Regions from separate parts of the Mus musculus genome. Here regions 2, 3, 4, 5, 6 and 7 are each reported to be linked to region 1. The links are microRNA targets in miRTarBase. Many come from high-throughput screens and were not tested one by one. Region 1 holds a microRNA gene; each other region holds the end of a gene's coding sequence.

The links. The annotated mature microRNA mmu-miR-1199-5p reads UCUGAGUCCCGGUCGCGCGG and lies in region 1 at 2,586-2,605, opposite strand. An mRNA with a match to its seed (bases 2 to 7 or 8) in the 3' UTR can be bound and repressed. Matches are read on the target gene's strand: a 7mer-m8 pairs with bases 2 to 8, a 7mer-A1 pairs with bases 2 to 7 and ends in A, and an 8mer does both.
Region 2: the mRNA of Il6st is a reported target of mmu-miR-1199-5p. Seed matches in the 3' UTR shown: 7mer-A1 at 2,835-2,841.
Region 3: miRTarBase lists Trub1 as a target of mmu-miR-1199-5p. The part of its 3' UTR that is shown has no 7-base or 8-base seed match.
Region 4: miRTarBase lists Helb as a target of mmu-miR-1199-5p. Seed matches in the 3' UTR shown: 7mer-A1 at 1,535-1,541.
Region 5: the mRNA of Nploc4 is a reported target of mmu-miR-1199-5p. Seed matches in the 3' UTR shown: 7mer-A1 at 2,681-2,687 and 7mer-A1 at 2,957-2,963.
Region 6: the mRNA of Slc17a7 is a reported target of mmu-miR-1199-5p. Seed matches in the 3' UTR shown: 7mer-A1 at 3,066-3,072 and 7mer-m8 at 2,786-2,792.
Region 7: miRTarBase lists Tle2 as a target of mmu-miR-1199-5p. Seed matches in the 3' UTR shown: 7mer-A1 at 2,926-2,932.

The regions. Positions count from the first base shown.
Region 1 is chr8:84,009,009-84,013,072 of GRCm38, forward strand. It overlaps Mir1199 (microRNA 1199), which reads right to left and starts at 2,625; the gene lies at 2,507-2,625. It overlaps Misp3 (MISP family member 3), which reads right to left and starts at 2,712. Exons shown (of 3, transcript NM_001291292.1): 1 at 2,133-2,712; 2 at 1,703-1,764; 3 at 1,220-1,484. The coding sequence starts at 2,676. The coding sequence ends at 1,470.
Region 2 is chr13:112,503,890-112,507,951 of GRCm38, reverse strand. Il6st (interleukin 6 signal transducer) reads right to left here. Exons shown (of 17, transcript NM_010560.3): 17 at 1,092-4,062. The coding sequence ends at 3,507. Among named protein-coding and RNA genes, the nearest start is that of Il6st, 42 kb to the right of the region's middle.
Region 3 is chr19:57,487,720-57,491,783 of GRCm38, forward strand. Trub1 (TruB pseudouridine (psi) synthase family member 1) reads left to right here. Exons shown (of 8, transcript NM_028115.3): 8 at 290-3,286. The coding sequence ends at 549. Among named protein-coding and RNA genes, the nearest start is that of 6720468P15Rik, 19 kb to the right of the region's middle.
Region 4 is chr10:120,081,425-120,085,488 of GRCm38, reverse strand. Helb (helicase (DNA) B) reads left to right here. Exons shown (of 13, transcript NM_080446.2): 13 at 516-1,881. The coding sequence ends at 677. It also overlaps a transcript of Grip1 not described here. Among named protein-coding and RNA genes, the nearest start is that of Helb, 30 kb to the left of the region's middle.
Region 5 is chr11:120,378,750-120,382,810 of GRCm38, reverse strand. It overlaps Nploc4 (NPL4 homolog, ubiquitin recognition factor), which reads left to right. Exons shown (of 17, transcript NM_001195023.1): 17 at 185-3,013. The coding sequence ends at 342. Among named protein-coding and RNA genes, the nearest start is that of Faap100, 2.0 kb to the right of the region's middle.
Region 6 is chr7:45,174,446-45,178,509 of GRCm38, reverse strand. It overlaps Slc17a7 (solute carrier family 17 (sodium-dependent inorganic phosphate cotransporter), member 7), which reads right to left. Exons shown (of 12, transcript NM_182993.2): 12 at 2,371-3,759. The coding sequence ends at 3,466. It overlaps Gfy (golgi-associated olfactory signaling regulator), which reads left to right. Exons shown (of 5, transcript NM_001195255.1): 3 at 1-986; 4 at 1,245-1,418; 5 at 1,879-2,161. The coding sequence ends at 2,072. Among named protein-coding and RNA genes, the nearest start is that of Gfy, 3.1 kb to the left of the region's middle.
Region 7 is chr10:81,589,656-81,593,719 of GRCm38, reverse strand. It overlaps Tle2 (transducin-like enhancer of split 2), which reads right to left. Exons shown (of 21, transcript NM_019725.2): 20 at 3,368-3,495; 21 at 2,875-3,163. The coding sequence ends at 3,388. It overlaps Tle6 (transducin-like enhancer of split 6), which reads left to right. Exons shown (of 14, transcript NM_053254.2): 11 at 866-1,007; 12 at 1,681-1,834; 13 at 2,384-2,460; 14 at 2,581-2,815. The coding sequence ends at 2,685. Among named protein-coding and RNA genes, the nearest start is that of Gm32024, 2.9 kb to the left of the region's middle.

The sequences.
Region 1 (4,064 bases):
TCTCATGTACATACCCCAACAAACACACACCTATAATTAAAAATAAAGAGAGGTTGCTTGGCAGCTAAGAGTACTTTAGGAGGATCATGGTTCAGTTCTCAGCACTCACATGGAACTCTAGTTCCAAGGGATCTGACTCTCTTCTCACCTCTGCAGGCCCACACATACACATAGGCACACACATATACACACAGGCACACACACATACACACAGGCACACACACACATACAAGCCAACAAAACACTTATACATACAGCATGAATACAAAAAATAAATCTTTTAAAACTTTCTAGGTCACCCTCGACCACAAAGGGAATTTCAGGCCAATATGGGATATACGAAGCCACGGTTTTATCTTTTTTTTTTTTTTTTTTTGGTTTTTCGAGACAGGGTTTCTCTTTATAGCCCTGGCTGTTCTGGAACTCACTTTGTAGACCAGGCTGGCCTCGAACTCAGAAATCCACCTGCCTCTGCCTCCCGAGTGCTGGGATTAAAGGCGTGCGCCACCACGCCCGGCCTTTTTTCTATCTTTTTTTTTTTTTTTTTAAGCCACGGTTTTAAAAGAAACAAGCAAAGATGGTCACCAGAACACTTGCCAGGTCCTTGATCCTTCAACACCACCATTGGTATTTCTTTTTTTAAAATTATCCTTATTTCAATTTATGTGAATATGTGTGCATTTTGTGCGAATGGGTGCCATGTATGTTGAGATTTTCCTGGAGGAGAGAAGTGGACAATGGCTCTCCTGGACATAAGCAGTTGTGAGCCTCCCATGTAGATGCCCGGAACTGAACTCGGGTCATTTGCAAGAATAGCAAGCACTCCTTACCCTAAACCATCCCTCCAGCCACCCCTAGTATGTTTACACTATTGTTTATATCCCTAGAGCAGGAAATACAACTTCATAGCACCTCGGTCTAGCAGCTCCCTGAACACAGAATGGTTTTGGTGCCTATAAAAACTGACATCTGGATACCAGAGTGGAGTCTGTGGGCCGGTGAGCAACATTTTGCGTTCTCACCACCAGGGGGCAGTAGGGCCCTGGCCTCCAAGCCCGGGTCCGCAGTCAGTCCAGAACAAGGAGACCAGAGCGCGTTTTGAATTCCAACATTCCGGCGGGATCCTTGGGTGGCTTTTCCAAACGTTCTTCACCTGCCAGCCTCCGCCCACCCAGACTAAGGAGGACCCAGTAGAAAATAGCTTGCACTGAAGCCCAGGTAAAGGGAGGAGGAGTTTATTTTATGTTTCACTCATAGGTTTTGCAGGGTTTCCAAGGAAGACTAGAGAATTTTATGGAGAAAGGTGGTTAATTCCATAGTCAGTATCAAAGATGGGCTGGATTTCAAGTTGCCATTAAAGAAAGCTAGCCCTTCCCTCTCTAGGCCTTCTGCTGATCTGGAGAGTAACCCTACCCTGGTTCTCCAAAGGGTATGTTACTTCTGTCCGCAGGTCCCAACCTTCATAGACCTCAGGGTCTGCGCTCCTAGAAGGAAAAGGGGAAGAGAAAGAACACCCTCAGGGAGAAGTTTGGCCTCTAGGCCTCCACCTCCTCTTCACTCTCTGGATCGCGTCTAGGACTTTTGAGTTTGGGTTAGAGTGGCGCTCCAGGGGACCAAGAGGCACCTTCTCCCTCCACCCCAGTGCCCAGGTGCTGCAGGGAGGGCTGGGAGACCGACAAGCATCGGAAAGGGAGTCTCCCACCTTCTCAGAGGCCCGTCTCCGCGGAGGCCAGATCACCGACAATTTTCCATCTCCCCTGCTCGCTGTGGGGGAAGGAACACTCAGCCGCGACTGCCCCTCCTCTTGCCAGCTGGAGGATGGCCGCACCCCTTATATACATACAGGTGTGCACCCCTCTTCCCCATGAAGGCCTCCACCCAGTTCTGAGGACCCAGGAACAGGAATGAGGCAAACTCAATGTAGAGAGGCACCCGAGTACTACAGAGGACCCGAGAACGCCAGAAGTCAAGGTTCCAAGGTCTGATGGATGTGGGGATCCTCACTCCAGGAGTGGGAGTGAAGAAAAGAAGGTGAACCCCCAGGAGAATAGTTAAGGGTCTGCAAGCCTACAGATGAATGATCACTGGAGGTGGAGACAGCTGGAGCTCTAGGGCCCAGGGGGACCGCTTACGGGTGAGGCTCGGCGCTGGCTCCTGGACCTCGGCGTCGCCGTAGATGCTGCGCCGCTGCAACTGCAGCTCCCGCTCGCGCTCGCGCACTCGTCGCACCTCCTGCTCCAGCAGTGACGGGGCAACGAGCGGTGGCAACTGCCCCAGTACCGGACAGCCGTCCTGAACGGCGGGGTGCAGCCGGCCTCCGGTCTCTGGCTGCCTCTGCAAGCCAGCGCCGTCCTCCGCCGCAGCCTCAAAGAAGCGCTTGAGTTCGTCCAGCGGCTGCGGCCGCCGCCGGGCGCTAGGCTCCGGAACCGCGGGGCTCGCCAGCGCCGCCTGCCTGTGAGCCTCGCGTTCGATGTCCCGTTGCATCTTCGCGCCCGCCCGAGCGCGCTCCAGGGCGCGCGGCAGCGGAGTACCGGAGCCGGGCCGACTGAGCACCGGCCGCACGCGCAACTCAATGAGTTCCTCGCCCGCGCGACCGGGACTCAGACCCCGGCTCCGGCGCAGGCTTTCCTCCCGCTCGCAGCTGCGGCGGATTTCGCGCTGGATGGGCGTCTCCATCTGCAATTCCGCCGGCGCCGGTTTGGATGCCGCGGGCTTCGGTAGAAAACACACCTGGAGGCCTCTGAGCCGAGACAGGGGCACAACTGCCCCAGTACCTCCGTTATACTAGTGCCAGGCGGCCCAGCTGTGGACCGCCCGGGCGCTCGGTCCGGTGCTCAACTGGCACCTGCGGGACCTGGCTCTCTGGCTCCAGAGTCTGCAAGTGCTCCTCTCCAGAGGTTTCCAGGACCTCACTGCCTCCCCCAGCAGCCCTCGGTGCCCTGGCTCTGCGGCTCCCGGAACACGTAGCCTTCAGGCGACCCCAGGACTCCACTCTCGGACACCCGAGGACATGGATGTTTGGAGTTAGGCGCCCTTTGAAAATTTTAGTTCTCAGAGCCGAATTGAGATGCCCAAATAGGTAGGACACGGTGCCCTGTGCAGTACCTGTAGTTACAGCCGCCGCCCGAGGTTCATAGGCGTCGCCAGCACTCTTCTTTGACCCGCCTCTGGCCTCCAGGAACATCCCCTGGGGGCAGGACTGGGCACCGCCCCCGTCACCTGCCAGCTGGATTCGAGTGGCCCTGGACCCGCCCTATGGGCCAGGGCGCCTCCACTGCTCTCCGGATTCCCGCCACCTGAACACACGGGTTGACTGAAGGGGTGGCTTCTTCGGAAAGGGCTTCCCTGAACTCACTACCCAGGGGGTATGTGTCGCCCTTTCCCTCTGGTACCACGCTGGCATTCTGGGGTCTTTTTTTTTTTTTTTTTTTTTTTTCATCACTTTCCGGAGACCTGACCTCTAGCGGAGCGCCGCGCTGATCGCTGAACCACGGCCTCCTTACAGAGTGTTTCCCCGGTCGTCTTTCGCTGACCTCACTAGTCTAGGTCAGCAAGTGCCAGCCTGCGGCCAGCGACACCACTCTCCTTCCCCCCGCCCCCTATCCCGTGATCTCCGGGCCTTCTCTGCACACTGATCGCTGAGGCAACACAGCTCGAGTCCAGCCCGAGGGTCGCCCGGGGCCGCCGCACTGGGTGCTGCTGCTACCCGGGGCTGCTCAGCTCTGTCTGGTTTGCAGCGGCGCTGCCGCCACTCAAAACCCTGGGGCAGATTCCCCACCCCCACCTTCCAGAAAAGCCCGCAAGGCATTGGCAGCCAAGTGTCCAGCTAGAATGAGCGGTGTTTGAGGGCACAGACATTACAGGACTTCCGGGCCTCAGCCGAGCAATTGTGGCTGGAAGGCGGTCAGCTTGGACCAGTTTGCCCAGGAGGCCCAAGATGGGGCAGAGGAGCCACCGGGTTAGCGGGAGGCAGTAGCGACCTTTGTCTGGTGCCCGATCTGTGTTTCGGGACAGGGTCGATGACCCAGAGTGAGGGCTAACCACTCGTAGAGACATTTCCACTC
Region 2 (4,062 bases), not on the chromosome of region 1:
AAACTTCTGATGTGGTTCTGGTGGCTTGCAGCTTCCGCAGACGCGGGCTGATTGGCAGAGTGATGTCAGCTGATACAGACTCACACACAAGACCCGAGGTGAGCCCAGGCCCGAGGACACTTGATATTTGGAGGGAGTATATACAGGACTCAACGGATGGTGATGGCCTTACATATCTTCGTTTCACTGAGAGGCACAGCTGAGAACTTCGAGTTCTTCCTGCTTGACTTGTGCTGAGGCCGAGGCCTGGCCATTCCTGCTAGTTATGCCACTGCTGCTGCTATCCTGACACTACTACCGACCTGGACTGCTGGTGTAGCCTTGACATGTTTGCGAGTGGATGGAGCTGCCACTGCTGACCTGTCAACTGAACAGCTGATTTTCTGACAGTGCACACAGGAGTTGCTCCAAAGAACCATTTTTTAAACAGGTCCACTTCCCCCACATCCTTTCTTTTCCACTACCTCTGGTGGGTGGTGGGCTACAAGGGAGGCTAAAGCATTTAAGAACCATTATTACAATTAGGGTTGAGGAAAAAAAAAATCAAAAACTACAGTCCAGTAAATCCTTCTACCTCTTTAACCCTTTAAGTTCACAATAAGAACTACAGTCTCACCAGACAGTGGTGGCACAGCAGGCAGGCGGATCCAGGACAGCCAAGGCAACACGGAAAAATCCTGTCTTAAAAAACCAAAATACCACAAACAGAAAAACAAAACAAAACAAACCCAAACAAGCAAAAACAAACAAACAAAACCCCCCCGAAACCGTCCATCCTGGCCGAGCTGATGACCACAGCAGAACTGTGCAGAGATGGAATGATCTGAAGGCGGGAGAACGAGGGGGGCAGGGGCTGCACTTTTCCTACTTCTGCTTCTCTGTGCCCCCGAGTAGTGACTCATGCTTTTCAAAGGACTGAGATTTTATGTTTGAGTGAGGAAAAGATGGGAACGCTAGGTTTTGTAACGGCGACTCAGCATTAAACCTTCCTTTTTCTTTGAGTCCTCGAGAGGCAACTGCATGGGAAGCAGTGGACTAGCCCTGGCCACAAGCCAGGCTGCTCTCTGGTGCGCCTTACACTACATTTTTACACACGAAAGAATACGAGCCCACGGGCAGAACTAGCTTTATTAGACGGTTTTACAGAAAGACGCCAGATTACTTTCTCTGCTACCTAAGGTACAAGGTACAGCATCCAGATTATTCTAAAACATGCTCGAGCGAAGTCTGTATTCAAGATGAACTTTAAGATGGGTTTTCTCTTAGAGCAAAGGGAGGTGCTCCATGGTACATCTTCTAAATGAACGTTCCTGCAGTGAGCACACCCCCTCCCTGCTGGCGGAGGCCCTGGCTCCCTGGGACACTTTCTGTCTGGGATTTAACGTGCCAACTTGCTTCCAGGAGGCTCTTCCTTCAGTGGCCTCTATGTTCATGCCTGAACTCACGCTGGGCTACCATCCCTAGCCAGTACAGACTTCACACTGCAACGTTCACAGCACCACTGTCTGATATGAGGGAAGTCACAGCTGAACATGGATAGAGTCCCATAACTAGACTGCTTACTGTGAGAAGATGAGAAATTCAGCAAGTGTTAACTTCCTGGCAGATATATACATAGAAAACTCAGTCCTAACTGGGATCAGGCTTTGACGTCCAACTTGAATGGCAATGGTGCCAGCCTTGTAGTGTGAATTCTGGTCTCTCTGCCCCTGACCTGGCCTTCCTGTGCCCGACTTTCACCATCTCCCTTCACTTCCGGCATTTTGGCAATTCCAGGCTGGTTTTGCCAAGGAGGCAACTGAATATACCAGAGCAAAGCATGTACAGTCTCACGAGGATTATACATGTGAAAGAACACAGAAAAGGACTACCCAGTATAAAAATATAAATGATAACACATCAGCAAGTAGAATATAAACAACCTTCTGAGAGTAAAAGGTGAAACTGCATCCAACTAAGTGCATATCAACTCCTCCTAGGCACTGTGTGGTAACCGCTATAAATGATCTGGGTGCCCATGCTCTGAAACTTCAACCCTTTTCCTGTGAGCACACTTAGTGATCAGCCTCTAACGGCGCTCAGCCAATTCCTGTCTGCCCAGTGTCTACCTTTAGCCCCCACCTCCATGTCACACTGGGAAGTTAGGCACAAATACATTAATGGCTTTAGTGCTAAACACTGGATGCCTAGGCTATTCCTTAATAAAGCAACTAGAAGGAATAGGTTTAAGATAGTCCTAAGTCGTGTAAAAACTCTACCTCATAAATGGCAGATATTAAAAAGACCTGGTTGGGTGTGTGACAGCACACATCCACAGTCCCAGACAGTCAGGAAGCTGGGCCAGGAGGATCACGAGAGCCTAGATGACATAATGAGCCGGGCGGAGGAGCAGCTCAGCGGTAGAGTGAATGTCTAGCATGCACAGGGCTGTGGGTTCAAAGCCCACCCTGCAAACTAGCAGGACCCTTCCAGCTTCCTCAGCTCTGTAGGAGGACTTCTGTCATTGTGGTGGTCGCTGACATGGTTGGGATGTGTGTTCTGGGACTGCATGAGGCTCTGGGAAATGCCACCCTTCAACAAACACCCTGCTATTCTTGAAAATCAAAACAAGGTGGAGTCAATTAAAGTAATTTAAAGTTGAAGACATTCTGGATAAAGTGCTTCCTCAACCAGTCTCTAGAATCATCTGTCCCTGGTGTGGTTATGTGTGTTCAGAAAAATGTCAACAACTTAAGTCTTTAAAAACAGCAATCTTCGTAAGTGGAGCAGTGGTGGTGCACTGCCTTTCATCCCGGTACTCTGGAGGCAGAGGCAGAGGCAGAGGCAGACAGATCTCTGAGTTTGAGGCCAGCCTGGTCCACTATAGGGTGGATGAAATTGACTCGGAAAGACATTTTCAATAATAAGCAGTTTCTTGGGAGGCTGTAGGTGACTATAAGAAAGCGGGTGCTTCTATGTTGCTTCTCTTTAAAGTTTATCCTCTTCCTCAGTAGTAACCGGCATCGATACCAACAGCAAGGAGCAGGCCATGCTTCTCTGACAGACCCAGAAACGAGCCACCCCTCCATTCTTTCGTCTTCTAGATGACATAATCTGGACACTGTGCCACAGGGCACTTTTAAATGATGCTGCTGGCCTTCTCGCTGGCATCTGGATGGTCAGTCTCATCAAAACCAGCCCAGCTGAACGATGCCATGACATTGTGGCTCATTTAAATCCCCCGTTTTCTATGTAGCAAACCAACAGCTTTATAAACTCAGACACACTTTGTTTTCGGCAGTGCAAACATTCTGAAAGAGCACAGAGTCCTCCAGCTATAGAGGATAAAGTCAGTTCATGTAGTGCTTGAAGGAGAATTCCAGCTACTCTGGAATGGAGACGGCCCAGGTGTGACTTTGTCCTTAGAGGCAATGCCTATCTTCAGGGAGTGAGGACTGTTTCTCATCTGAAGCCACTCGTCTTTAGCTTTATTTTGCAGTTCCTGCTGAAGTTCAGGAGCCAGTCCTTCACTGCGGCATGTAGCCACCTTGTCTTACAGTCTGTGGCAAGTAACTTTTGGGAATTTCTTCATCAATTGTGGTCTCCATTCCAACAGATTCAAATCTCTCCATCTGTCCATCAGCCCCCGTGCCAAGAGCATCCGCTGTAGAGCCTTCCTGAAACAGCCTCCGTTGCTCGGATCCATAGGGCTGAGAAATGTGATCTGAAACCTGCTGCTGCTTCAGTCTGACAAAATCCTCCTCATTGCCGGACAAAACCTGGTTTGACCTTTCAAAATGTGAAATCTCTGGACAGGCTTCAGGCTGACTGCAGTTCTGCTTGAAATACGGTTGCCTGGGCAAGATCTCATCCCCACCGTCTACACTATCCACCAGCTGCAGGTCTTCTGGCCGCTCCTCCGAGTCTAGCAGGGGCTGGGTGGACTCGGACCTTGAGAACACTTGCACGGACGGGACCTGGTGCCTGTAGCCGCTGTGCACCACAGTGGAGTACTGCACCGTGCTGGCGGTGCTCTGAGCAGACTCATTCTCCTCGTTGCTGGAGATGCTGGGCCTGGAGGAG
Region 3 (4,064 bases), not on the chromosome of region 1:
TCTCTGCCTCTGCTGTCCCCTGATCACATGAGTGGACAGGTCACATTATCCTATTTGCAAGGTAGTGGGAATATTTATGTCCCGGGCTTGCTTCAAATGCCAAGAAAGGAAAACAGGTATAAATTTACATCCCTAAATCATCTTTCCTGCTGAAGCAGTGACTTACCTCAGGCTCTGGGCTCTGGTGCTGGGCTGGCACCCTGGGAGGTCAGAAGTTCTGTTGACTGGAAGACTGTGGATTGTGAACGCCACGCGGCTCATCTTGCGTTTTTCCTTTTGGGTACCGTAGAGCTCTCTTCCTGTGCCAGCGTGCTGGAGCTGACCCGCACCAAACAGGGGCCCTTCACACTTGCACAGCACGCCCTCCCCGAAGACAGGTGGACCATCGATGACATCGAACAGTCCCTCGAGCGCTGCACGTCTCTTCTGCCGGAGGAGCTGACATTTAAAAAACTAAAATCTGACAACTCCAGTGACCAGGTTATAAGCTGTGGATATATAACTCTCAGGGACACAAAGAGAGAAGATGACGCAGTTAAGACACTGTGAGGCCGGCCTGGGAGGATCATTTCCTGGTTGGTGTCTGTCCCGACCAGGAATGCCCATACACCTCTTGAGTTCTTTGCAAGATGTCTTAATGTCTCTGAATGATGGATCTGATTGGATTCAGATAAATAAGTTTTCTGAATTTGATCTTCCCTTAGTCTTTTTCCTATGAAAAAGTTAAACAATATTCTAATGACAGAATCCTGAAGTCTGAGCTGCAGGTTCCACTGGTCTCACAGAAGTGTCAAACTTGCTTTGCTTAGACTCGGGGAGGGGGCGTTCGTTGTTTTGAAATTCTCTGAATACATTTGAAGTGTTCAGTGTCGAGCTGTCCTGTGTGTTTGCAGAGCCTATGGCTGCTGGAAGGTGCTGGTGGGCTGTACTCAGCTGTGACTGTGTTTCTTAAATCCCGGGAATCAATACGTTGTCCTAATACATATCTGTAAATGCACAAACTCCTGCTTTGGCCACTGACAGAATGTAAATAGCGTGAGACGTGATTCATTTCAGATCCTGTATTCAGCAGAGCTCAGCTCCTGTAGCCGTGGACTGTGGCAGCTATTTCTGTGGTCAACCACATGGTATCAAAGTACCAAAAATGTGATTTTCTAGAATATAAACTAAAGAATGTATCTTGAATTAAAATGCTCTCCTGCCTGTTCGTTAGCGCCTCTCTGTGACTGCGGAACCCTGGTCCAGTGACATGGTTTCTGTAGTTATGAAGAATATGATCACATTTTCAAACAGCAGATTTTATGAGTGCTTCATTGTTTTGTTATAGTAATATCTATTCTTTTATTGTGTGTTTTGAGTTCTTGAAGACAAGGAAACTGAGGACACTGGAGAGGCGAAGACACACTGCCTGTCCAGCAGGCACGGAGTGTAGATTCTGCACCCACCCACAGCAGGCGGCTCTCGCTACTTCAGCTCCAAGGGACCCAGCACCCACTTGTGGCCTGTGGGCCCCTGTGAACGAACACCCATGCCTCCACACACATACATAAAATAATTACTTTAAGATATCGAGATTTAACGCAGGATGGCCCCACTCATTATGTAGCCAAGACTCCTCCTGTATCTACCTCCCAAGTGTAGAGGTTAGAGGCATAGGCCACTGACTCCTGCAGGAATGTGGAAAGGTATTGTACAGCTGTGGCAATAGTCAAGGCTTCCCTCATTTACTAACGTATATTTTCAAAAAGAAGATTTATTAAACATTCCGTAAAGTACAAGTTTTTATATTTTTCATACCTTTCCTCTTAGAGGTTGTTGCCTCTAAAATATTTTAAATAAGCAGACTGACGGTTTTATTGTGGTTAATGTAATGCAAACCTAATATAAACAGTTGGGTGCTTCAACAGGGCATTCTCAGCAGACTGGCAACGTGTTTTAATAAAAACGTTAATGTTAACTCAGGGCAGGTAACCTGGCTCAGCTGGTGACACCAGGACCAATGACTTGAGCTTTGACCCCTGGGCAACCTTTGTGAGAACCTCTACCCCAGCAAGTTGTCCACAAACACTCTGCAGTGCGCGTACACCGTGCCCATCCCCCACACATAAAAAACCAAAAGAATGAAATGTTTTTAAATTTAAAAACGAATTCTTAGTATGAGACTGAAAAATACAAGTGTTGTATTATGGTAAATTGATGAATTGGAAGTTACACAGCTTTGAGCCTGATGTCACGGTGAAGCTTTAATCCCAGCACTCAGGAGGCGTGGCCATGTGGAGTTCTGTGAGTTCCAGGTCAGCCAGGACTACACAGGACTTCGGAGTGGGACCCTGTATGTTTATATTTTTATATATTCCTATCTAATGTCCTGTAATTCGTGTAACCAAAGGTGATGTTAGATCCTGCTGCCCGTTAGAACGGACTAGGCTGTACATGGTATGTCTTCATCATGAACAGCTCAAGCCTGAATAGACCATACAGCCTAGAGGTTTCTTTTTTCTTTTTTCTTTTACTGGATATTTTATTTATTTACATTTCAAATGTTATCCCCTTCCCCGGTTTCCCCTCCAGAAACCCCCAATCCCACCATCCCTCCCCCTGCTTCTATGAGGGTGTTCCCCCACCCACCCACCCACTCCCATATCCCTGCCCTGGCATTCTGGGGCATCGAGCCTTCACAGGACCAAGGGCCTCTCCTCCCATTGATGCCCTACAAGGCTGTCCTCTGCTACATATGCGGCTGCAGCCATGGGTCAATCTATACTCTTCTCATAGTGAAGAGTAAAATTTATGAAAAAGCAAGCAAGTTCAAGAAATGGCAGTCAGTCTTTTCCTTTTGTTTGGAAATGCTGGAGAAATTATGCAGGTTTTAAAAATGCCCATAATGTTCACCATCTTAATGCACTCATTTTGGATTTTATTTTTATATTGCATTTTCCTCTTTATTTACATAATTCAGGCTCCTCTGCTCTTACTGATTCTTGAGACGATTTTATCTGGGCACATTTAGTCTTCACGAATATATCTGTTATATCTCTGTACTCAGTTCATTTAAACTACTTTCCCGGGGCTACACACATAAGCAGCCTTTTTTTTTTTCTAGGACACATTCTTGTAATGTGGTTATTTTAGGGGAAGCAATAAGAGCTTGTGATCCCCTGGGCTGTAACATATAGTACCACCATTGTTTGGGATTTTATACATTGTTGCTAAAGTTTCCCTGCTTTTGTGTGACCTACCTTCACACCCTGTTCATTTGTCTAAATAAATGTTTCTTTGTATGTAACACGAGTTCTTTGCAGTAAGCTCTTAGCAGAAGTGGTTTTCCTGGCCTGTCTCAGTTTCTTCTCCAGGTCCTGTGATGAAATACCCTGACAAACGGGACCTAAAGGGGAGTGCTTCCTCTGGCTGCAGCTGAGGATCCCAGAGCGGGCGGTCCAGACAGCTGGTCTCATAAATCTGCAGCCGGGAACAGCAAGCAGCCAATGGTACTGCTCGGCAGGTTTTCTCCATCTAACGCGGCCCAGAGCCCCTGCCTAGGGAGTGGCCCTGCACATTGCTAACACAGACATCCCTCTTCAATTAGCCTGTCAGGATCATCCTCCCAGGCGTGCCCAGGGTTATCTCCCAGGGCACTCAAGAGCCAGCTGGGCTGGCAGCACCAACCTGTGTCTTGCTTTGTAAACATATTAGGTTTTGCTGACTCTTAGGTTTCACTACCGTCAGATGTGTAAATATGAGTAATTAAAATTTATTACGATTTTTAAATATTCTTAACTTTCATGGGTAGCTGAAACCAAGACCCAAGGTCTGAACTAGTTCAACATTCATCCTCTTTAAAATTTAATCAGAACATCAGAAAAATATATGTGACTTATATATTTCAGGCATTGAGATACTTGGCATGATTAAAGTCATTTTACTTATGGGCAAAAAAAGTAAGTTAGAATTTTCTTCAGATATCCCAGCACGGAACATACCAAATCACCTCACTGTGATTATTTAACTCTTAGGTTTCTGAGAAATGTTGGTCTCATGTGAATGTTTAAAATAGTCACAGAATT
Region 4 (4,064 bases), not on the chromosome of region 1:
TAACCAAAGTCTGATTCTAAAATGCACTGATAGAGAACCCTGTGGAAGATGTATGGTGTTTCCTATCTTTTTTCCTGTGACAACTGAGGATCGTACTGGCCCAGTGTCTGCTGCTCAGGTGTCACCAGAGGCATGAAGAGTATGGTCCTGGCGCTGCCATACCTCATGCCTGGCTCTGTGCTTAGCGACTTGCATCCATCTTGAAATTCTTAGTGCTTGCACAGCGAGCCTTCCTTGAATTCTGTGTCTTGCTCCCAATTATCTAGTAAGCCCGATTGCTACTTTTAGAGGGTTGTATTTAGGCAACGCACAGTGACTTCTCCATGTCAGGCCCTTAGCTAGGTCCAGGGGATGCCACAGTAGGCAGAGGCAGACATAATCCTCCAGAGAGCAGACAGGATTGTTGAGGAGCGCATCATTTCTTCCTCAGGCTCGGTCATGGGGAACGCACGCGCATGTGAGTGGTTGATCGGGGATGTTTTTGTAAAAGTAACTTCATTTTTATTTTCAAACAGGTTGAAGCGCCATCTCCACAGGTGTCCTCTGTGTTTCAGAATATGAGGTTGAATACTCTCACTCCCAGACAGCTTTTTAAACCCACCGACAATCAAGACACAGGTACGGCAGGTGTGGCGGACGACGCCAACGATCCCAGCAATCAGGAGATGGAAATGTGAGGATCTGCGTTCATGGCCAGCCTGGGCAACATCGTAAGACCCTGCTCAGCCCATACCACCACCACCACCACCACCACTGAAAACCTCAAAGCAGAAAAAAAAAAGTTTACTTCATATTAATCAAGAAATTATTATTTTTTTCCTCCCAAGACAAGATGAACATTTTAGCTTCAAAGTTTCAAACTTCAAACTCTGAGAAGACAGCATTATGGTTTTGGGCATTTGTAATTTTGGGCACATGACCCAAAATAAAATTTTTATATTATTTTTAAATCTAAGTTTCAAAAGGAGGTATTCTAAAATCACCCAATCCAAGAAAACCATGATGATTTCAGCCTCTGTCCTCGTGAGAACAGTTGACAGGGGACACAGTTAGGGGAAAAGGTGCTGTATGCTTAAAACACTCCCGTTTTAGGGGCTGCTGGATGTTTTGTGATAATGCCATGTGATCATTGCGGATCTCCTTTGCCAGCACACTGAACCAGCAAAGGTGGACTGATTGTACCTGTTGATTGTAACACATTCAAGGATGCTGTTTGTGGCGACATCCTTGCTGTGATGCTGTGGCCATCACTCCATTCCTGTGCCTGGGGCTCTGCGTACGTGGGGCTTGGATATGCCTTTCTGAGTTGGGAGTAAGTTTAGCATATATCCCATTGTAGGGAAGACTTTCTCTTAAAGCATATTGGTTTTTAAATATTTATTACCTAGTGGTACTGTGGCTTGATCGTGTCTTCCCAAACCTGTGTGAGTTTTTTTTTGGGGGGGTGGGGGTGGGGGGTGGTTTCGAGACAGGGTTTCTCTGTACAGCCCTGGGGCTGACCTGGAACTCACTTTGTAGACCAGGCTGGCCTCAAACTCAGAAATCCGCCTGCCTCTGCCTCCCGAGTGCTGGGATTAAAGGCGTGCGCCACCACTGCCTGGCATGGCAGAGTGGTAGAGAGAGTTTTTCCATCTTTCTCCCTTCTTTTGGTGCTGGAACTGAAGCCAAGGTCTCATTCCTTCTAAGAAAGCACTTTACTGCTTAATTTTATTCCTGATCCTAAACATAACTTTTATATGTACCAGGAAGTAAACAAACAAGACCAGTCATGTGATGCAGCTGATGGTAATGCTTTTGTTATTTCGGGTGCCCTGGGACTGATCTGCAGCATTTCTGAGATAGACCTTTGTGAGAAATAAATCCACTATTCTTTTACTTCATCGCCCAGTCTGTGGTTTTCTTTTATAATAACACGAGGAATTAAGACCGATGGTAAAATAAAAAGTACTCATTGGCTTGACATTAATAGTGTTGAGATAGAATTCTATACAGTTTACGCACTTAAAGAGCACAATTCGGTAGCTTTTAGTATAGTCAATGAATTGTGAAGCGGTCATCGCAGTCAACATTAGGGCATTTTTGTGAACCCAAGCCTGCACCCCATCAGGCATACTCATCCACTCCAGCTAATGGGTTTGTCTCTGTAGACTCGCCTGTAGTGCACAGCCCCTCTAAGCGAAGCCATACAGAATGAGGTCCTTTCGGACTTCTTTCCATAACCATATTATTAAGATTTCACCCACATTTTATCAGTAATATATTGGTAGCTCAGCTCACTCATTGCTAAATAAGACTCCTTTGCATGGATATATTGAATGTAGAGTTTATCCCTCCATTAGTGGATTGACATCAGGGCAGTTTCTCCTCTGCCCGTTGTAATGAATACTGCTCTGATCTCTCCAGCAAACATTTTTTGTGGGTAGATGTATATTTTCATTTCTTGGGGTTATGCCAGTGGATCTGCTGGGGCCATGGAGTAAGTCTGCCTTAGACTCTTAAGCCGTTAGCATTTTGCATTCTCACTGGTAGTTAGGAGAATTCGTGTTTCTCCAAATGGTGTGTGTGTGTGAATATGGTGTGTGCGTATGGTATATTTATACATATGTGTGTGCGTACATGTATATATGGTATCTGTGAATATGATATATGTATATGGCATACATGTACATGAGAATTTGTACGTGTCTGATGTCTTCATGTCGTAAATGTTTATGTGTGTGCATGTGCATATGTGTATGTTGTCTATGTGTGAATACACTGCATGTGTATGGTATATATGTACATGTGTGTGTACCTGGTATATGTGTGTGCATGTGTGTGGTATCTGTGTGAATATGGTGTCTGCATGTGGTATATATGTATGTCTGTGTTTATCTGGAGTATGTGTATAGTATGTGTCTATGTGTGTATGCACATGTATATAGTAGTGTCTGTGTATGAATATGATGTATGTGTATGGTCTATGTGTACCTGTATGTGTGTGTTGTGGGGGTGCATGCCTCTGTTTGAGCATGAAGGAGCATGTTGAGTGTTCGGCTCTGTCCCTCGGCTTCAGTCCTGAGTCAGGGTGTGTTAGTGACCCAGAACTAGGCTGATGGCCAGCAGTCTCCAGCAGCAATCCCCAGTGAGCCTCCTGTTCTGTCTCCTCACACTGGGGTTTCCGGTGTGCACGACTATATCTGGCTTTTTACACGGGCTCTGGGTATTGGACCTCACCTCATCTGGCTTGTGCAGCAAAGGATCTTACTCTGCCCTGTCTCTCCAGTCCTCCTCCTCCTCCTCCTCCTCTTCCTCCTCCTCCTCCTCCTCGTCCTCCTCCTGCTCCTGCTCCTCCTCCTCGTCCTCCTCCTGCTCCTGCTCCTCCTCCTCGTCCTCCTCCTGCTCCCCCTCCTCCTCCTCCTCCTGCTCCTCCTCCTCGTCCTCCTCCTGCTCCTCCTCCTCCTCTTTCTCCTCCCCCCCCTCCTCCCCCCCTCCTCCTCCTCCTCCTCCTCCTCCTCCTCCTCCTCCTCCTCCTCCTCCTCCTCCTCCTCCTCCTCCTCCTCCTCCTCCTCCTCCTCCTCCTCCTCCTCCTCCTCCTCCTCTTCCTTCTCCTTTTCCCCCCTCTCAACTGACTTCTAAAGTATTGCCATCCCAGGAGTAAGAGGTATCATTTCATTCTGATTTTGAGTTGTATTTTCCTTATGGTTAAAGATGGGGAATAGCTTTCATATATTTACTGGTCTTTAATATGTCTTTGAAGAAATATCTATTCCTATCTGTTGACTTTTATATTAGGTTCATATCAAAATCTGAGTTTCTTATATATTCTACATATAGTCCTTTATAAAATAACAATGACCTGTATTTTTCTCTCATTCTGTGAAATTTTACATTGAAGGGCACATTTTTAATTCCAGTCATGTCTATCATCAGTTATTGAGTTGCTTGTGGTTTTTATGTTACGGTCAACAAACTGTGGCCCGTCCAAAGCCATGAAGATTTATTTCTGTTTTTCTAAGCCTTTAATAGTTTTTGCATTCATGTCTAGATGTTAAACTTTCATTTAGCCCCTGTGTAAACTGAGA
Region 5 (4,061 bases), not on the chromosome of region 1:
TAGCAACAGGGAGCAGACTTCAAGTGCAAGTAGGAAGGTGTTTGCTGACTGGAGCCAGAACACTTGATGTGCTGACAGTTTGGGCTTACGCAGTAGGGGCTTTGAGCCACCCTGCCCTGCCATCTGGCTCTAAGGAGATGTCTTTTTCTGTGCAGGCATGACGTGTTCTCACTTTACCCTACAGGCACCGTTGGTGTGCAGCTCCCAGGCCTCCACGAGTTTGGTGCAGTCGGGGGCTCTGCACGCGCTGCTACCTCTGCCATGTGGGCCTGTCAGCACTGCACCTTCATGAACCAACCTGGCACAGGCCACTGCGAGATGTGCAGCCTCCCCCGGACCTAGGGCTCTGGGCCTCTGCTGCATGGGACTGGGCCAGCCCAGCCCTCTGAAGTCTGGAGCGCCACATGTTCCCTATAAGGCCTGAAGCCCACAGCCCTGAAACAGTGGGGCCAGCTGCCCTGGTATTCCAGATACCCTGAAGCGTCTCCGTGCAGATCTTGAAGAGAAAGAACCTCGGCTGCTGTGCTGGGGTTGAACAGAGCCTCCCACCTGGGAAGGCAGAGCAGACCTGCCCAAGAGCTCCCCACACGCCTCACGTGTTGGAGGGACTGAACACGTCCAGCCAATCACCTGAAATTGGGGTGTACAGAGAGGGTGCTGCTGTCACCCAGCTATCTCTCCTTCCTCTATGATCTTTGTTTTCTGCCTTCCCACCTTCTCCCCCAGTGTTCGGATGAATGTTCCTGGCTGTCTCTGTTCCCTTGCTGTGGGGCTGTGTCCCTCCTTTGGGAGCATGTGTGGCTAGGGTGTGGCAGCCTTTGTCTGACATGCAGTATAGTAGGTCCCTGACCTTTACTTGCCTGAAATCAGCAGTTATCAATAATTCCCACCCAGGAAACTTTTATTTATTGTTTTTTAAAGATAAAACTGCACAGATGGGAGTGAGAGATTTACCTCTGCTCCTTCCTCCTTCAGTGCAGCCCCTCTTGGGTGGTTTATTGGGCAGGAGGCCACCATCATTTCTCCTCAGAAGCAAACCTCAGTGCCTGAGACTTTCCTGCCACGCTGCAGACAGTGGCAGTTGGTAGCATGGGTGGTTCATCAGAGCAGTGGTGGCTCTTGCCTGGCAGTCAGCCCCTTCAAGTCTGGACAGCCCTGGAGTTCTGGTCCCCTCTCCTAGCACTGTACCTTTACCCAGCGAGTCCCCACACTGTGGTCTTCTTGCACAGTGTGTGGCAGTTGAGAAAGCCTAGAAAAGGTGCCCATTTGACCACTGTGAGGCAAATAGAAACAGTCCCTAAGGGTCCTATGTGGCTGTGTTGTGACAGCCCTTACCCAGGTAAGAGATGGATGTCGTGATGCCTCGTTGCCTTAATGAGAGCTGAGTCAGCTGTCCTTCACCCTGGGAAAGTCCATGCCAGCTGTGGACTGCTGGGAGCCATGTTTGTCACCTTAGTAGAATGCACCAATGTTCCCTTCTGCATCTCTGGCCCTGTGGACAGAACACTTATTGCTAGGTTATCTATCGTGTGGCAGGGCTGGCCAGCACCGTTGGGTCTCACCTGGCATGAGATCTGAAGCTAAAGCCCTGGGACTGTGGAGCCATTGGGCTTGGTTTGGTATTGACAGGGTCATCCTGAGGGGTTAGCAGTGGTAGAGAGCAAGGCAAGTGATCTCTCCAGCTACCTGCCAGCAGTAGAGAGAGAGAGAGAGAGTGCTGAGGGCTGGTAGTGTCTCTGGCTAGGGCTTCACCTTTCGGTTTTTTGTTTTTTGTTTTTTCTGGTCCCTGAGTCTGGCATTTCTGTCTGTGACTTAGCTATGTTTCTGATGCCAATCACACTAGCACCATTACATGCTGGGCAGGTGCTGGGCAGCACAGACGCTGGAGACCTGTTTGCCACTGCTTGTCCCCCATTCATCTTTGTCTACAAAGTTAATTACGTTCTCATGTTCTGGCATCCACATAATTCTTGTTTTCTCTGACTTATAGCTAAAGAAATTTTTGTGGTTTCTCTGCTTATGGTTTTGAGTTACTCTTTGTTCAGTAATGCACTTTATTTTATTGTCCAAAGAGAGTCAAGCTAAAGCTACCACCTTGGGGTGAGCCCTACAGAAGGTTCAGACCCGGGCAGCTCAGCTACCTCCTTCTACATGGAGGTGGCCCTGGTCCCACCTCTAATCCCTACTGTCATCAGGCACTACAGCCCAAAAAGAGGTGCTTGTGAGCACACCCACCCAAGTGAACCCAGTGGCTGCCATGGTCCTCTTCAGGCTCAGAGATGGGTCTAGCCCTGGCCTTGCTCTGATCAGCCTGCTCCTGGGGCATGGGTGCTCCCGCTTCTGCTCTGCTTGGGCTCACAGGTATGCACTGGCTGGGTGTGGATGAGTATTTTTCTGACCCCAGCCCTGCAGTGGAACCTAATAAAAGCACCTGAAGCGATTGTCCTGCTCCCAGTGCATTGTTCCTGTGCCCAGAACCACAGTCCACCGGTGTGGCATGGATGTGTTGCCTTGTAAGGACAGTCCTGAGTGTTAGAACCTGGTGTGCAGAAGATAAACTGACGATGCTTCCAACCCTGGAGGTGACTCCGATGCTGCAAAGAATTCATCTCCCACTTGTTTCCACTCAAGGTGTCTTCAGAGCAGCCTGGGGCTTGGGCTCAGATCTGTTTCAGAGACCACTCAGAAATGATAAAATAGGTCCAGGCTTCACCCTTGGGTTAAAGTTGGTTTTTGTTTTTTTGTTTTCACTTAATTTACAGCTGGGCATAGTGGTCTGTGCCTTTATTCCCAGTACTCTGGAAGCACAGACAGGCTACAACTATAAAGCCTAAGAAATAAATATTTGGGGCTGGGGGGTGTCCAGTTCCAGACAGAGCTTTTTGTTTTTTGTTTTGTTTTGTTTTCATAAGCGTTGCTGTTGTAGAACTAGCTTTGTAGACCAGCCTGGCCTTGAACTCAGATCCACCTGCCTCTGCCTCCTGAGTGCTGGGATTAAAGGTGTATACCACCACACAGCTTTTATTTATTTAATCGTATGCTTTTGTACACATAAATACCTTAGTAAAAGATGTAGGAGCCCCTGGAGCTGTTGGGGGTTGTGAGCTTCCCTATGTGGATGCTGGGAATCAAACTTGGGTCTTCTGCAAGTACAGCGTGTGCTCTTACGGCTGAGCCGTCTCTCCAGCCCCAGGATGTTGTTCTGACATCTACACTAGGGTTACACTATGCTCTCTAAGTTCACAGGACGTTTTGTGCCTGGTTGTGACCCCACACACCTTTGTAGATTTGTCCGCTGTAATTTTCAGATGAACGTTCTTTTAAGAGTCAAGGTTGCCTGCGCTGGCTCCGAACTCAAGTATTCCTGCCTTCAGCCCTCCGAGTAGCTGCCACTTCAGAAGCATAGGCAGTGGTGTCTAGTTTCTGATGAGTGCTCTGGAAGAGTAGTATTTCATCTTGTACTTGGAGCCTCATTCCAGGGTAGGATTCTCCGCCTGCTCCCTCAGGGAGCCCCAAGAAGAGCTGTCATTGAAGAAAATGTGGTTTCCCTTAGACCCAGCTCATTAGGGTTTTCAGCATCCTCTGCTGTAGAATCACATCCTGCCGCGTTCATGAGTGGAGCAAAGGCTCTTCTGGATGGCTGGCCTGAAGCACCTTTTTCCCTATCAAGGGACTGAATGGTGTGCTGTGCCACCCTACTCCTGAAACCCCGTGCTATACGGGTGGTGCTCTCAAGTGCTGTCACAAAACGGTGCCAGGGCAAGTGCTGCATACAAGCCTTGCACCAGAGCAACCTCTGCTCAACAGGTAGGTGATCCGAGGCAAGGGCCCTGACGCGGGCCCCAGTGAACTTGCAGGACTGCATTATTTGGCTACCCTCTGGCTTTGTGCCTCCCGTTGTGGCTCTTTGCTAAGCCACGGTGTTTGGGGGCGTTCCCGCCCTCTAGCGGACCGTAGAGCAACTGTCCCCGCCCCTGCAGCAGGCTCCGGCCACGCCTCCGCAGCGGCCGCTTTACGGCGGAGGCCGCGCCGCGCCGTGGGCGGCCGTAAAGCCTGGAGGC
Region 6 (4,064 bases), not on the chromosome of region 1:
TCAACCTACCCCAGGATCCTCTGCAAGCCATCCTCCTGAGCACTCCGAGACACCACCCTCAGCTTCCCCTCACATCTCCACAAAAATCTTAAGGGAGACCCCTAGCCCCAGCCCCTTTCTTTCTCTAGAGACTCCCATACCTGACCAGCTCACATCAGTAGCAGAATCTCAGGGTACTTCACAAATGAGTCCCTCCAGAGCAACACTTGGTAAACCTTCTGAGACCCCCAAACCTGACCCAACTGGAATTTCCCCGTCTGACTCTCCAGAAACCCCAAAACCTAACCCCTCCAACACCTCACCCCCAGAGTCTCCTGAGTCTGTATACACTGACCCCACACCAACTCTACACCATGAATCCCCTGAAATCTCCAAAAGAGATACCCCCAAACTCTCACCTGGTGAAGAGTCTAAGATACCAAGTCCCAGACCCACCCAATTCCTCAGCTCCAAATCCCTAGAGACCTACGACCCCAGTGCCACGAGACACCTAAATTCTGCACTGGAACCAACCACCCACCCTGACCCTACAGAAAGTCCACAGTCAGTCTTTCTCACCACTCACAACTCTAATCCCACTGTTGTCCCCCAAACCCAATTCCCCACATCCCCCAGCCAAAATGTAACAGAAACGGCTAGGACCTCTGACTTGGAACCCAGCTCTAGTCTTCCCACCCAGCCAACAACCTTCAGGGAGGAAGCCACCACTCCCAGTGAGCCAGGCTTGAGTCCCAGCCCAGAAGCCCCTGCAGTCACCCGAGTTGCCACCCCTGGCCTGTCCACCTCAGATTCCCCAGGGACCAAAGAGCTGCACGTACCCCAGAACTCAGACCCTAAAGGGCCAGATATCCCTCTTCCCTCAGCAAGGATTGCAGGGCCCCCCGCTCCTCTGGAGCACCCCAATCAGGTAGCACCTGCCCCTCAGAGACACAGCCGAGGAGACACAGTCAACACTATCATCGTGGTGGAGCGAGTGAAGGAGACGGGTGAGGGGCCTGAGGGCTGAGACTGGAGCCCTAGGGCTGAGGGAGGAGGGGTAGATCTGAATCCCTGGGTATGAAATGGGGGAGTCTGGAACTAAGGGAGGAGAGTTGGGTCTGACAGAGAAGGGCTGGGTTTGGATCCCTGGTGTGAGGGAGTGAGGCTGGGACTCCTGGGTCTGAGGGATGAGGGCTGGGTCTGGACCCCCGTGTTTGAGGGAGGAAAGTCCTCAGCTCAGGTTAGATGGCTGTGTCGTTCCTCAGGGGTGACTCTGGTCAGCCGCCCACGAGGCTCCGTCGGTGGGGCTCTGTGCCTGTTCTTCGCGGGGACAGGGCTGCTGATTGGCATCTTCCTGCTGCTGTGGTGCCTCTACCGCCGAGCCTCCAGACACAGGTCCTTTGCCCACCACCGGCTCCGGGACAGCGGAGATGAACCAGGTGAGTGCTTGCTCGCCCGAGAAAGACCTTATCCAGGCCTTACAGGGGACTTAGAACACCCTTCTAAAGAACACACACCCCTGTCCAAGGTAAGTATAAGGCTGACCCCACCATGGTCTGGTCCCAGCCCGTTACATCTGAAATTATTCCTCTTCCTCCTCCCACTTCCTCCTCCTCTGAGATGGGATCTCAAAGCTCAGATTCCCAAGACACACACACACACACACACACACACACACACACACACACACACTAACTACACTCCCTCTCTGAGCCTAAATTCCCCCCATACCCACACACCCTCTCTGCTCAGTTAAGCCCCGCCTAATTGTGTACCACACACCCCATCGAGGCTCGCCCACCACCACCACCACCACCTCCCCCCCCCCATGCGCCTGCACGCACGGACATTGCAAGCCCTCCCATGGCCAGCCACCTGACGAGTCCCTCGTCCTTGCAGTCTTGCACCTCGATGCCCCGAAGGACCCGCTGGATCTCTACTTCTACGCCCCCGATGCGTGGGTGCCCTCCCACATCGCCACGCAGCCTCCACCTTCCACGCCCCCGCTGCCGCCCAAGCTGCCCCCTCCGCCTCGCGGGCCGCAGCGCCTGGAAGCCCTGTCGCCCGCCGCACTGTCCCCCAACTTCTTCTGAGGACCGCGCCGCAGACCCGGCCCAGCTTCAATGCCTTAGAGGGACCCCAGAGCCAGGCAGAACTTCCCAATAAACCACCTCGCCCACCATTGGAATCTGTGCCTCAGTGCGCGGCGGGGCGAAGGGGCAGAGGGGAGGCGCAGCCCAGAGCAGCGGGGAGCAGAGAAACTGAGGTGCAGACCGGGCGGCGGCGGAGGGCTGGGGTCCGACTGAGTCAGGGGGAACTGGGGGGTCGAGCGTAGGGCAGCAGGAAGAGACCGGGGTCTGCACACCGGGCCCACACCACGCGACCACCTGATCCGTACACCAGAGCGTTTATTGGGAGTGGGGTGGGGCAGGGCAGGATTTACGTCACAGAGACAGACACCAAGACACGACCCTGCCCCAGGAACAACCCTCTCCTCCCAGCCCCGCTCCCTTTCCTGGGATTCTGTAACTTCTCTCACACACCTCACCCCCACCCAGATTTCTACGTTGAGAGAGGGGTGTCTATGAGGGGAAGCACCCCAGATTTGGAATCATTTAGCCCCTGAGGGACACACAACAAATGGCCACTGAGAAACCGAGGGCGGCCTGGAACCACCCAGGAGAATAAAGTGCAAGGATTTGGGGGGGGGGGGGCGAGGGGGATCCTGAAACCACCACGGGGAGGAAGAGGTGGCCTCGAGCCGCTGAATTAATAGCTTTGGGCAGCCACTACTGAGACCTGAAAACTGAGTCAGAAAAAGAGCACGGGGTGAGCAGAGCCATTTTGGCCATTTCCCTGGACAATGATTGTACTAAGCTAAGGTCAAGGCCCGGCAAAGTGTGCTGGTGAGGGGACGAGGGAAGAAAAGGGGGGTGGGGGGACTTGAAACCGCCATTTTCCCTCAGAAACGCTGGTGAGAATCAGTCCTGGGAACGGCGGCATTGGTGGTTAGGTTAAACCAGCTTGGAAAAATGTAGAATTGGTTAGGCGAGCCTTGAAACTAATAGAGGACGACCATGAAGTCTTCTGAGTAGGGGACCACCTGAATAATCTCGGGGTAGCCTGAGAATCCCTGGGGTCTTGGGGGAAGGGGTGAAACCTCAAAACCACAAGAGAGGAAGAGGTTGAACTGTCCCTCCAAATAAAGCCCTCAAAGGGGAGATTTGAGCCCACACAGGCAGAAACAAGCGGAGAACGACTTTCAGGGGAGTCTGGGTATCCTTGAAACTGCTAGTGTGCAGCTTCACCCCCCGCAGGAGGCAGTTGAGAGGGAAAGAGGGCTGGTCGGACAGCACTGGGAACAAGGGAGGACTTGCATCTTAAGCCTGAGGCAGGGGAGGAGTGGGGTTCCTCGACACTGCCGCTCAGGCTAGAGGTGTATGGAGTGGAAGTCCTGGAAACTGCCCCACAGTGGGAGGCCCGTGGTCAGTAGTCCCGGACAGGGGGCGGGGGCCTCGGAGGCTGCACTGTGCTGTGTGTGGCCCCGTAGGACGGAGGCGGCGCGGGGGGCGCCCCTGGGGGCTCAGCCTCGTCCTCCATTTCACTTTCGTCACTGCCAGCCAGCTGGTCGTGGCCAACAAAGCCACACTTCTCCTCGCTCATCTCCTCCGGCTCTGCCCACGGCTGCTTCTCTCCCGAAGCAAAGACCCCATAGAAGATGACACCGCCGTAGTGCACCAGGGAGGCTATGAGGAACACGTACTGCCACTCCTCCCGCGTCTGGGGGCAGACAAGGCAGATCAGAGAGGGATGGATGCACACCTGTCAGTTCAGGGGCTCTGTAGGGTGAGGCCGGAGGGTAGCCAGCATGGGCTACACGTCTTGAAAAATACATATATTGGGGCCTGAAAGGTGGCTCAGAGCTTAAAGAGGTCTTACTGCTTGCTTTTGCAGGAGACCCAAGTTCGGTTCCCAGCATCCAAACGAGGCTGCTCACAGTCACCTCTGTAGGCTCAGCACTCACATGCATATACATACATTTAGAACTAATACGAAGCCAGGAAGCGGAGGCAGGTGGATCTCTG
Region 7 (4,064 bases), not on the chromosome of region 1:
GCCTGGCTTATTCGTAAATCTTGTTTTTCGTGGGCTTTGTTTTGTTTTGTTTTTCGAGACAGGGTTTCTCTCTGTGCAGCCCTGGCTGTCCTGAAACTCACTCTGTAGACCAGGCTGGCCTGGATCCACCTGCCTCTGCCTCCCAAGTGCTGGGATTAAAGGCGTGTGCCACCACTGCCCAGCTCATTGTAATTCTTGTAGGACAAGGGAGAACAGAGGCTCAGGACAACCTGCAGGAGCCTGTTCTTCCACTAAGTGGGTTCTTGGAACTCGGCTCTCCTCTACCCACTGAGTGACCTGGGAGCCATCTGGTCAACACTTTTACTTTTATTCATTTTATCTGGCATAGGGTCTCACTCTGTAGACCAGGCTAGCCTTGGAACTCAGTGATCCACCTGCCTCTGCCTCCAGAGTGCTGGGATGACAGGCTTGTGCTGCCAAGCCCTGCTCAGATTTTATCTTAAGGTCGGATCAGGTGACGTTTTCAGGGATGATGCTGAACTTGCTCTGAAGCCTAGGATGGCTCTAACTCGCAATCATCCTCTCTTAATCCCGAGTAGCTGGGATGACAATTGTGAGTCACCACAGCCAGCTTTGGGTCTTCTCCATCACCCTCATTGTTGAGGCAGGGTCTCTATGTACCCTAGCCTGGCCTGGAACTCATGGCAATCCTCCTGCCTCAACTTCCTCAGTACTGGATTTATAGGTATTGGAACATTACCTTTTAGAGGCAGGGACTAGGATGATGTCACTGTTGCCTTCTTGCCAAAGGTGTTAAGAGTACCTCAGGTTGGGTTAGTCCCACGGCTTTGAGGGAATCTTAGGGACTGTCGAGCCTAGGCTTACCCCTTTGCTTTCTGGCCAGGAACCTCAAAGGCCCTACCAATTCGGCCAGGAACCTTGTGGTCAAAGATGACAACATCTGGACAGGGGGTCTGGACGCCTGCCTGCGATGCTGGGACCTGCGGATGGCCAAGGTGTCACTGGAGCATCTGTTCCAGTCCCAGGTGCACAGGAAGGGTGGCTGCACAGGCGTGGGCCTTTGGGTACAATGACAAGGTGCACTCAGTGTCAGGAGAGGGAACAGCCCAGGTCAGCTCAAGGAATTTTTGAGAAGTCACAGGGGTCTTTAAAATACCTTTTGTCATACTGGACAATGGTGGAGAAGGCTGTCGTCCCAGTACTCAAGCTGAGGCAAGAGGATGAAAAAGTGAGTCCATCTTGGGCTACATAGTGGAGAAGGAGCTGGATCTAGGGGGTAGAATGTTTTCCTGTCACTCAGCACTAGGGAGCTGGGGGAAGGAGGGTCAGAAGTTTAAGGTGGTCATCAGCTACACAGGAACCTGAAGGATAGCCTGGGCTACATAAAAGCCGGTCTCAAAGACTATCGTTGCAAATATTTTATGCTGGAGTTCAAGGCCAGCCTGGGCTATGTGGCAAGTCACTACAGCCTAGGCTATGGAGCAAGACCATGTCCCAATAAAACCAACCAGGGAGACAGACTTGTCACTGCCATAGTTAACCCTGTGAAGTTCATACACCTCACAGAAGGAAGGTGTGGAGACACAGTCGGGCCACAGCCAGTCAGTGAGTCATTGGGTGGGCGGGCGTTCGGGCGGGGACCTTGCAGCCTGGCCGCCCAGCAGGGGTCTGATTGCTACCTCTGCCTGGCTCACCCAGATCATGAGCCTGGCTCACAGTCCGACCGAAGACTGGCTGCTGCTGGGCCTGGCCAATGGCCAGCACTGCCTGTTCAACAGCAGGAAGAGGGACCAGGTGCTCACTGTGGACACCAAGGACAACACCATCTTAGGCCTCAAGTTCTCCCCAAATGGTAAGGAGTCCACTGAGCCTGGGCATGGTGGCACACGCCTTTAATTCCAGCACTGGGGAGGCAGAGGCAGGTGGATCTGAGTTCAGGACCAGCCCTGGTGTACAGAGTTCCAGGACAGCCAGGACTCCACAAAGAAACCCTGTCTGGGAAACCAGTCCACTGAGGATGGGTGCACACTGTGGCCACTGGCCTCTCAGAGGACCCTGCTATTTACTCAGTGCCCAGTCAGGGCTTGGGTATTGTCCACACTCCAACATCTTTTATTAACATAATCATAATCAGGAGTTCAGAGTCATCTCTGGCTACTTGGGGAGCTTAAGGCTATCCTGAGCTATAAAAGGCTTCAGACGGCAAAACATAACAAAAGACAAAACAGTAAAACTTTTTGCTGTTCTGCCTTGTTCTTTGAGGCAAGGTCTCATGTAGCCTAGACTCATTCTCATCTCAAACTCTCTCAGTCCTCCTGCCTCAGCCTCCTGGGTGCTGCTGGATGTTAGTGAATGGGTGGGGTCTGCTGTAACCTCCCTGTCTTCCTTCCCCTCCTCCTAGGCAAGTGGTGGGCGAGCGTCGGTATGGGCAACTTCATCACGGTCCACAGCATGCCCACCGGAGCAAAACTGTTCCAGGTACTTATGTGCAGGGGGCACTGGGGGCTCTGTCAGCGGGACCCTCAGCATCATCCCCACAGGGGTCATTTCTGAAGCTCTGGGTGGAGAGGAACTGAGCTCACTCAGCTGCTGTCTCAGGTCCCCGAGGTTGGCCCTGTCAGATGCTTCGACATGACTGAGAACGGCAGGCTCATCATCACAGGATCCAGGGACTGTGCCTCGGTGTACCACATCAAGTACTGACAACTTCAACTCCCCTCCCCTAACTGCACAGTGGTGGATGGCAATGGGTGTGATGGGTCTGCAGTGCTTCTAGAGGCTTCCATGGGGTGTGCAGATCCCGAGTTGCGTGTAATAAAACAATTGAAATGGCAGAGATTTGTCCTTTACCCAGGTTTTGGAAGAACTTTGTAGCTCTGAGCCCTCCAACTTCTGAGTGTTTGCCTTTAATCCCAGCACTCAGGAGACAGAGGCAGGCGGATTTCTGAGTTCCAGACCAGCCTGGTTTACATAGTTTCAGGACAGCCAGTGCTACACTAAGAAACTAGCCCCACCCAGTTTTTGTTTTAAAGAGAGCCAGGAAGATGGTTCAGTTGGTAAAGCCCACACCAGGCAGGATAAGGAGTGAGTGTAAATCCCTGATCCAGCTCTGTAGGTAGAGACAGGAGGATTCCTGGGGCATGTTGACCTGTCTGTGAGGCTCATTAGTGAGATCCACACTCTGAAAATTGGGGCAAAGAGAAATGAAGGCTGATACCCAGTCGGGTCCCTCACCTGTACGCTTCACACACACACAGAAAGAAAGCAAGTTGATAAATGTGTTATATTTCCCCAGTGCCCCAGCCCCACCCAGCCAGGAGGGAGCAAGCCAGGTATGAGCAGAGGGGCCCGTGTCCCGAGTGGCCAGCCATCCAGGGCAGGTGACCTGAAAAGGCAGCAGATGGCTCAGTACACCACCTCATACACAGTGGCCTTCTTGTCCCCTGAGCCTGTCACGATGTACTTATTATTCCTGGAGATGTCGCAGCTCAGTACAGAAGATGATTCTTTGGACTGGGACAGAGAAAGGGGAGGTGAGGGGTGGCCACATGGTCACCACCACCAAGTTTACAGACCAGAAGCATGGGGCTTGGAGGACAACAAAGGCTGGTAGATGTGACTGTTGCCAGGGCCTTGTAGCTGGGGACTGAGCTAGCCTGACTGGTGACTTAAGAGATGGTACCTAACTCATCACAGCTCGACTTCAGATGGCTTCACAGCAAAGTACCTCCCTCCTCTTCCCTCATTCTCTCTCAAACCAACCATACTTCTGCCCCATCCTTCCAAGTGCTAAGATTACAGATCTGTGTCACCGTGTCCTGGAGGGACAGGGGTATCCCTGACATGTGAAGGGTTGATAATGGTACTGCTCTGGATTGGAGACTCCTGGGGTCTTTGATGGTTAGGAAGGACAGGAAATGTGAAAGACCACTATAGCACATCCATTGAAGGTTCAAGAGACTTATTAGAAATTGCCACCTAGGGCTAGTGAGATGGCTCAGCGGTTAAAATCACTGACTGCTTTTCCAGAGGTCCTGAGTTCAAATTCCAGCAACCACATGGTGGCTTACAATCTGTAATGA